2 linked regions of the Nothobranchius furzeri genome follow. The protein of the gene in region 1 purifies or fractionates together with the protein of each later gene. This does not show direct contact. Links are inferred from orthologs where the notes say so. Each region holds a gene or a part of one and is shown on either strand. Other genes may lie near its edges.

Region 1 (4,436 bases):
CGGAAAAACACACAGCATGCTACTATCGCCGATTACATTCTTACAAATTACGAATTAGAAACGTACCAAATGATTACATTTGGAGTCTAATAAAATGTAAAAACTGCCATTAATCAAATAAGTACAGACAGATATATTAGTAAAGCTAGAAAACCGTAATAGACTTTAACTCCACAGAGTTTTGGCTAGCAGCTATGAATGTAACTGAACTACAGTAGCTCTGCATGGACAAGACGTCAAAAACTATAAGCACAAAAGACTTCAATAAACGGGACACATTTCTTCCCTGCAAATAAATTTTCACAGGTGATGCCAATACCTATGCGACTTCAAGGGATGTGCTCCTGGCTGCAAAGCATTGCACCTTCGAATACAAGATTTTGTCTTGGCTTGTGAGTGTTTATGGATGTGTAGACAAATAAACTTGTTGATATGATATGTAGATACATATGTAGATACATAAACTTGTTTATATTCAGTACAAGTTACATTTTTTTTCTGCTTCCGTTAGTTGAAAAATATGAGAAAAACCCCTTGAGAAAATAATCGTGAATTCAATCACAATTGCAGTATTGAAGAAAACATCGCAATTAAGATTGTTTTCCAAAATCGTTCAGCCCTAGTAAAAGGATATGAAAACAAACCTTTGCAGATTTAAAAAGTCTTAAGTGGACCCTCTTTGACAACCTGCTAAACGCAGGAAGAGACTGACAGCTGATATTTCACAAACATTGCTTGGTGGGGGGACCCACAGGGATGGTAGCACGCCACCCGTTTACTTGGAAACGAGCACACACACACACACACACATGTACGCAGATAGCCGACATGACTGTGCACCACTCTAGTATCATGCTGTTAAATTTGAATCCACAGGTTTTGGGCAGTGCTACAGACCAGCAGACTATCCGGAGTCAGGGGGAATATTTCAGAGGCACCTTATTTATATCGGCATGGGGCACTGCGCTTCCCAACTCTATAAATAGCCATGGTAAATACTTAACCTGATCACTTATAGTGCTAACAGAATAATAAAAGTGGAAAACTCTACTGAAATTGTGTTTTCACACTGATGAATGCTGGTATTCACAAGATGGAGAACCTGTCTTTCTAATTTACACATTTCTTGGTATCCAATATGCAGATGGATTTACTGTAATGTAACTGAACACCTCTGAATGTTTGTCCACACACAGCTTGTTAAATACATGACTTAAAGTTAAAGGGCTTCTCAGTTACTAGAAGTCTTGTAACCAGTCTAATGCTAAAGTCAAAGCAAAAACAGTTTAAGACTTTAGGGTGACATTATTCCAGTGTACTGGAACTTAGAAATTTTCATTGATGAAAACAACCAATCAGTTAAAAGCTGCAAGTTTACAACAAACAATTAATCAAGCGGTGTTTATTTATACTACTCATTAGAAACTCTCGATATGTCTGAACATTGATGCAGGAGAGGCTGAACCAATGACGGAGTGGAATCTACTCAAACTTGTTTGACAACAGTGGCAGCAGGTCTAGAGTGCTGACAAAAGGCTACTAGGTGATCAATATAAAGCCTCTAAAGAGTTAGAAATGTCATACTCACCTTGTCATTTTGAACTGAACCCTTTACTGCATTACTTTCTTTGTGATTCTTAACATCTGTAACAGAGCTTCGCAACCTTCCGGGGTAGCATGGGGATAAATGAATGTGCACATGTGGGGAGCGAGGGCTGCAGAGCTCGGGGTTAGAAACGTGGCATGAAATTCCAGTGTTAGGGTAGGGCACCTCGAGGGAAAAGCTCCTCTGTATGGCACGATGCTTTTCACCAAGCCCGATTTGATCTTTTCCAGACAAACCGCTTTTATCGTTTTTCTCTGATGGCTTGGATGAAGAAAACAAACAAGCAGAGGTACTGCGATACAGTTTTCTGTGATTGATGTTTTCCCTTTGAGATAGGTGAACTTGGTGGTGAGCTTCGTTGGCTGCAACCATTTCCACAACTCCCTTGGTAGATACTGTTGGTTTCTGGTGGGCAAAATGCAGCAGCACGCTGCTAGAGTGAAGATTAGGTCTGTCTGAGGCTGACGGAAGCTCCATCAACGCGCTATTGCCTTCTGATTTGCATTTTGTTCCATCCTGTAGAGGAATATTAAAGTGGACCATGTGTTTCATGTCCCTAAGTTCAGATGAGCAGCTTCGTTTTGATGTTTGGTGTCCACTTGCTACAGTGGAGCTCGCCCCTACTTTCTCTTGGGAGAAATCACTGAAAGACGTCTGAAGATGTGACTGATTAGTACCCTTTGGCAGTGGGTAAGCAAACGGAGTCACAGCACATCCTGGGGAAGCAGGTGGAGTGCTACATGGGCTCTTCGGAATAATAATCAGTGAGGAGCATCGTCGCAGCGGGACCTTGGACTTGCGACAAAGCAGAGTCCTCTCCTGGATTGTCCTGTGCTTTTCTGGAAGCTCTGGCTCAAAGATGCTGCTGCTGCTACAGTACCCCGCATCGCTGGCCATGCTGCTGTTGCATGAACCTCCGTCAGAGCCGGTACCTGCTCCAACTTCACAAGCCCCTGGTTCTCCATCTTCTAAACTGCAATCCAGTTTTCCACCGAGTTTCCCACAGGGCTGCAGCGCAATTTGCAAAACGCTCTTCTTATTACACCCTCCAGCGTGAACCCTGGGTATGAACACTGAAGAGCACTGACTGCTGGCAACGTCTGGTGACAGAGGAGTCACCTTCAAGTGAACAGAGCTGTGCGCCAGATTCTCCGCTGGGCCATGAGCCGACAGACTGACTCCACTCTCTTCACCTTGGCTGCTGAGGCTTTCCGACAGGGGGTCCGTGTTGCTTCTCCTTGACGCAAAATGCAAACGGAGCTGATGTGACATTTGTTCAACTCACTAATCCCTGTAGGGCTGGCGAGACGTACATGATCAAACTTGCTGGTGGAAAAAAAAAACGAGAGCAAACGCAACAGCTCCATGCGCTGTGATCACAATCATTAGTAGCTGCGCATTGCCAAAATAGCTCTGGTGACAAGCTACATTCCTCTCCAGGCTGATCTCAGCTTTTAGTCAGAGCAGGCCAGTGGTTCTGTTTGGAGACATGACCCAAACACATGACCTTTCAAACCGAACCATTAGCCCCTTTAAAATTCCTCGGCCCAATAAAGAAGAACAAAGCTACTCTAAAGATAATTGGAAAACCTTTTCCTCAGCTTTGCATTCTAATAAAAGCCTAGCGTAACTCGACTGTGCCTCCAAAAAAAAAAACAGACAAATTAGCATTTTTCTTCTGAAAATAAAGAAAAACAAACAAAAGCATGACAGTCCAACGTGCTGCATTTTAGACTGAAGCTCTGGTAAAGTGTCACATCTGCGTTGGCCCATTCGCTCAGGACTCCTGCTGCTGCTATGCTACTAATGTTTCTGCTGCTCTGTGCCCCACAAATAGTTTTACCCATTGCTATTGAATTACAGGAAATCAAACGAGTGAATGTCAACAAAATTCTGCATCAAACCAAGGAGCAGGTTGCAAAAGCACATTTCAGACAGTAAATCACAGAGCTCATTAGGATAACACAAGAGCTCCTTTTAGTGTTTTAGCAGTGACTTTAAATATTTCCTGCAGGGAACAGGACAGCTGCTGCCTAATGAGAAAAACGTGAGGTTTTAAGAAAAAATAAATGTCATGAAACTGGTTATCTGATGCCTCATGTAACAGTCAATGCTGCTCTTATTACTTCTCCATAGATGTTGACAGTTTAATTTATTAACAGTGAGGCTGCCTGACCTATTTCAGGGCATTACTTTGCTTCCAAAGTATAATAATGGAAGTCACGGCCGGGATAAGGACATGACTCACTGCAGGACGCTGTGGAACTCCTAACCTATTTTTTAAACCAACAGAACCGTGTGACAGTAATGCAATGGCCATACAATATCAAATGCTTATATAGAATGACGTCATGCGGCAATAATACAGAGACACGTCCCTTAAGAACTCCATGAGTTTGGTATCAAAGTGAACAAAAACAAAGGCGGTATTTAATCAACTTTTCAGAGAACCAGTCTGCTGTGTAGTCACTACAAGCTGAGTCAGAGAGGTGTGGTTCGAGTAAAGACTGGAAAAATCAATCAGCAGGTGCAGCAGGTGGATGAACTAGTTTCTTAAGCTGTGTTTATTTACTTTTAGGTATTTAACCAACCTCTCAGTCACTGTGTAACAGTTACTGTTTGTATGCAGCATCTAATCTGGAATATGCTACATCGATGGTTTAGTTCTTGAATGTTTTTAAAACAGTTCAAGTTTTTAATCCTCTACAGTACAGACTATTTTGAACAATTTAGGGGAAAATTCTACTAATTTAATAATAAACAACAGGTTAAAAGAGTGAGAAGGCAATTTGTAAAAGTCCAGTTTGTACATCAATGTTCTCAGTTTGGT
Region 2 (4,530 bases), on another chromosome or scaffold:
TATTCATACATTTATAATTGTTAAAGTTACCATTTAAATAGTTAGTAAGCAAGCAAAAATATTTAACTTAGAGTTAAATATTTGTTTTACAAACAAAATATTTAGGTCAAACCCAGATATTTAGTTTGTAAAATAAATAATTTACTACATATTTAATTTGGAACAAAATATTTAGTTTACAAACAAAATATTTAAATACATTAAATAAATTAAATATTTATTTTCTTTAAAAAATAGATTGCATCTAAATACTTATTTTTGAGCTAAACATTTGTAAAATCTAAATTTGAGGTTAAGCTTGGATCTAAATATTTATTTAGAAAAATAAATATTGAACTTGAAGCTAAATATTTTGTTTGTACACCAAATATTAAGCTCCAAATAAAATATTTAGTGAATAAAATAAATAAATAATTAAGTAAACTAAATATTTAGGTCAGACCTAAATATTTAGTTTGTAAATTGATTAATTAACGCTAAATTAAATATTTAGCTCGCTAACTAAATATTTTCTTGGGATCTTTAATATTTATAAATGTATGAATAACATGGGGAAATTTTTACTTTGAAAAATGAACTCCCATTTTTTATGAGCATGCTAAATAACCCAAAATACTGCTAAGTTACGACTGTTTGACTTTACAAATGGCACCTCATAGATCTAAGGAAGGAAAACAGTGGGGTAATGTATAAAAACATGAAGAAACAGTTAAATTATGCTTCTGTCGTGCAATATATGTGTGCATATATTTTTTGTTATTCTGTAATAATAAAAAATACCTCTGAAACTATTTCATCAGTGATTTTCATTTAAGACTTTATGAAACAAAAAGTGACACGATACATAGAAATGTGGTGTTGTGAACTGTGGAATGTGAAAGTGGAATACGTTTTCATTCTATATTTCACATAATTTCAGCTTATTGACAAAGCAAACTCTAAATTATCAGTTAGAACAAATGCCAAAATAAACATTTTAAACTGAGTCTGAGAAGCTCAATCTGCTTCTAATTTAGGACTTCACCATGTATGACATGATTAAAAGTATAAACTCATCTGTCTCCATGGTTTATGGTAAAACTAATCAAAAGATGCAACTAATGCAAAAAATTTGCTGCATAAACAGGGACAGAAAAGGAGAAGCAAGTTCTATTTTGATTTTTTTTGCATTTTTTCCTTTTCTGATTATAGAATTTAATTTAATTGTAAATAATTTAGCAAGTACAAGCTTGGGGTTGGATGGTGGTGCACTTATTCTGAAGTAGTTGTTTTTTTCAGCTAAAATTACATCTTAAACTAGGTTAGCATAACAGATTAAGCAAAAACATTGTTTTTATGAAACAAGTCTGAATTATTTGTTCTTTTTTATTGGATTGGATTGATGTTTGATCATGAAATTCCTTCATTTCTTTGACATTTATGTTTTTGTGAAGCATTGTCGGTTATTTAAAATTTAAAAAACGCAAACAGATGTTAAAACTGTCAGAACATCTAAGTAAATGCTAATTGTCACTTAAAAAGATGCTGAGTAGTTTTATGCGGTACGTGGTCATTGGCTTAAACTCCCGTCAGTCAAGAAATCAGACTCCGCCTTTTCCGGTTTGTTGAGCGTTTGTTTTCATCCGCGGTGTGCGCAGGTCGTCGGAGTGGGCGTTCCTCTGTGTTCGTTCGCTGACTGTTGATGCTGAGCAGGCTTTTCGGTAATTCGACCAGATGTTTCTCCCTACTCTCGTAGAGGACATGCATCATTTTAAACCAAGTCGGGATAGACTGTACACCACCCGGTGCTGTGGATGTTGCCATGTTCGAACTGGGACCATTATCTTGGGAACATGGTACATGGTGCGTAAGATGGTTCTCGATAACTGTGTGATCGCGTACGCTAGCCTGCGCTGTTCGCTTGTCAAAAATCCGCATAAGTGTTGAGTTACGTAACTAATCTCTTCAGGATATAATTAAAAATTATCTTATATTGGTCTTTACTTGCGTGACTTTACCCAGTGTGTCATTTTGACTCTTAAAATAGCCGTAGCTAGTTGAGGTAATGCTAGCAGGATGCTAATGTTAACGACAACTTGCTAACTCATTAGTTGTCTTTTCCAGTTGAAACGGATATTTTTTTGTTCTTAAAGTCACAAAAAAGACCAAACGTAGTCAGAATTGGGATTTTTTTGTACACAAGTGAGATATGAAGACATTTGACTTAGCCGAGGCTCGGCCAACATGAATGTAACGGGTAAAGGGATTCCGCAGTGTCCCCTTAAAAACACCCTTATTCTAACTCGTTAAGATAATGATTAGTTCCATAATAAAAAATTTTATTTTATAGATGGACACAATTTAAAAACACGAGTATTGACTGAATATATGTTTTACTAAATAGGTCAAATTTGCTGAATATTTTTATGGAAGACACCGACTTAGTTTTATTATGAAAATTTTTACTTTTTTGTTTAATTACCTTCCAAATAGATCAAATCCACAATTATGTACTGTATCTACCAAAAGAAAGAATGTAATATATGTGTTTCTTGTTTTGTTGCTAGTGGCTGTATCCCCCTCCACTGTCTTACTTGTGACACTTGCATTTTTTTTAGAAAGCGCTATAATATAGTTTACAAACACAATAATTGCATTTTTGTTATTGTATTTTGTGTTCACTAAACATTTCCCTACTCTTTCCTGAACTCCAGGTAGTCAACCTGTTGATGGGCATCCTTCTGACTGTGGCCGTGACGCACCCAGAGAATGTTCCTACCATTGACTTGCAGTACGAGGTCATTGACCATTACTTTGCCTCCGACAGGATGTCCGGTGAGTGGAAAAGTCGTCTAAAAACTCCAATAAACAGCGGAATGTATTGAAATGTCCTTGTATTATTATGTCTACGTATCAAGATTGTGTAACATAAATTCTTTGAAATCCTCAACATAATGTACAGATAGTTAGCTCACCAACACAAAGACTAGTGAAAAAACATTTTCTATTTTTGGAATCTGCACATGTTTCCACATAAGTTATTCATTGGCTATTTTGAGGATTTGTTAATCTATTTCCATCAATTGTTGCCCTTTGGTACAATTTGTCTTGTAAAGATAATATGATGAGGCTTAGTGGGTGGCTTTTATCATTGGTTGGCCTTTTTTTAAGCAATGAATTAGCCAGAGAAAAGGAGAAATAACTTCTGAGAGCTGGTTTTCCTATTTCAGGGTTGCACAGCTTGCACAAATAATATTGAGACATTATTTGTCATTAGTCCTTGATGGTAAAACTGTGTTTACTGTAATGGTGTGCTCTGAAAGAGCACAAAACATTTACAAAGACTCCCTTAGACAGTTTAGATGTTTAGATAATTAAAATATTGTCATCAGCTCAAATAGAGAGGCTTATTTTCACTAGACGTTTCATTCCGGTGTGTGTATTATCCAGTCTGACCTGTGGTGTGTCGGCTGCATCGCTGCAGCTCTCCCAGGCATTCCCAACGCAGCAGTTAAAGCGAGAGGATGATTGATAAGGGTAAAAAGGCTATGAAAGGAAGATCATTTAATTGTCCTACACTGAGCTTCATATCGTTACCAGCCCAGCTGAAAGGATTAACGCTCCCTAGAGCTGTCTTTTAATACAAAGTGAGTCTGCCGGCCCGGGAGACTGTCCACTTATCAGTGTTGGCAAATCACAGCTGCCTCCTGCAGCACAAAGACAAAACATTAAAGTAGCTCGCTAAACATTTACAGATGAAGCCGAAGCTGTTCTAAACTAATATTTGCTCATTAGTTTTTAATCTCTTCTACAGAAAATGCTTGTGTTGGATTTGCTATCTCGCTGCTGATGCTTACCATCAGCGCCATGATGGTGTACGGAGCAATCACTGTAAGTTTAAACTCATTTGTACGTTTTCCCTTTATTTTAAGCTACTTTAAATGTTTCATTTGTAAAATGCTAAATTACAAACTAAACAGCTCAGCAATCATGTAATTTAGTAAGAAGAGCGTGATAAAGATGTTTTTTTTAACTCGTGAACGTCATCTGCTTGTTAAAAGGAGTGTTCTTTAGTTGCAGCGTGTTGTGTTCTCATCGTGCACGATGACGCTTGCCTCACAGGCCTGCCTCATGGCGTCAAGACGGACGGGTTTGATAGCTGTTTGATGTTTTAAGCTACTAGTTAGCATGACCGTGCAGTGATAACATGACCGTTACCTGGGAACGCTGCAGAGTTGTACTTGAGCTGTGCAAGGACGTCCTTCCAGACCAAGGTTGCAGACACCCTTCCTTTTTCCACGGTTGTGTGGCAGCTAGTTCTAATAGTTTCAGTAACCTTAGAGATCATTTAGGAGTGTATTTGGCTTGTGTGTGCGCTTTTAGTGGAAGAAAAAACAAAAGAGGAACCGATGTTGTTAAATTTAAACCTTCTCTGTTTGCATGTTTCTAATATTAAAGCCTAATCTGTGCTTAATTCCTGTTGGGAATAAAAATGGCGTTAGCGTCTAAATTTGGAAGAAAACCCTTCCTGTTTCTCAGATTGCTGAGAAC

What was found.
Region 2: the proteins of nedd4a (region 1) and laptm4a purify together in Homo sapiens (affinity purification with western blotting; 3 studies listed by BioGRID). This does not show direct contact. The link is inferred for Nothobranchius furzeri from reciprocal best matches to the Homo sapiens genes NEDD4 and LAPTM4A.

What each region holds. Positions count from the first base shown.
Region 1 is NC_091749.1:60,023,987-60,028,422, reverse strand, and holds the start of nedd4a (E3 ubiquitin-protein ligase NEDD4), read right to left. Parts: upstream 3,086-4,436; 5' UTR 2,879-3,085; coding exon 1,589-2,878; intron 1-1,588. UniProt on the Homo sapiens protein: E3 ubiquitin-protein ligase which accepts ubiquitin from an E2 ubiquitin-conjugating enzyme in the form of a thioester and then directly transfers the ubiquitin to targeted substrates. Specifically ubiquitinates 'Lys-63' in target proteins.
Region 2 is NC_091742.1:7,584,902-7,589,431, forward strand, and holds the start of laptm4a (lysosomal-associated transmembrane protein 4A), read left to right. Parts: upstream 1-1,612; 5' UTR 1,613-1,713; coding exon 1,714-1,842; intron 1,843-2,693; coding exon 2,694-2,814; intron 2,815-3,793; coding exon 3,794-3,870; intron 3,871-4,530. UniProt on the Homo sapiens protein: May function in the transport of nucleosides and/or nucleoside derivatives between the cytosol and the lumen of an intracellular membrane-bound compartment.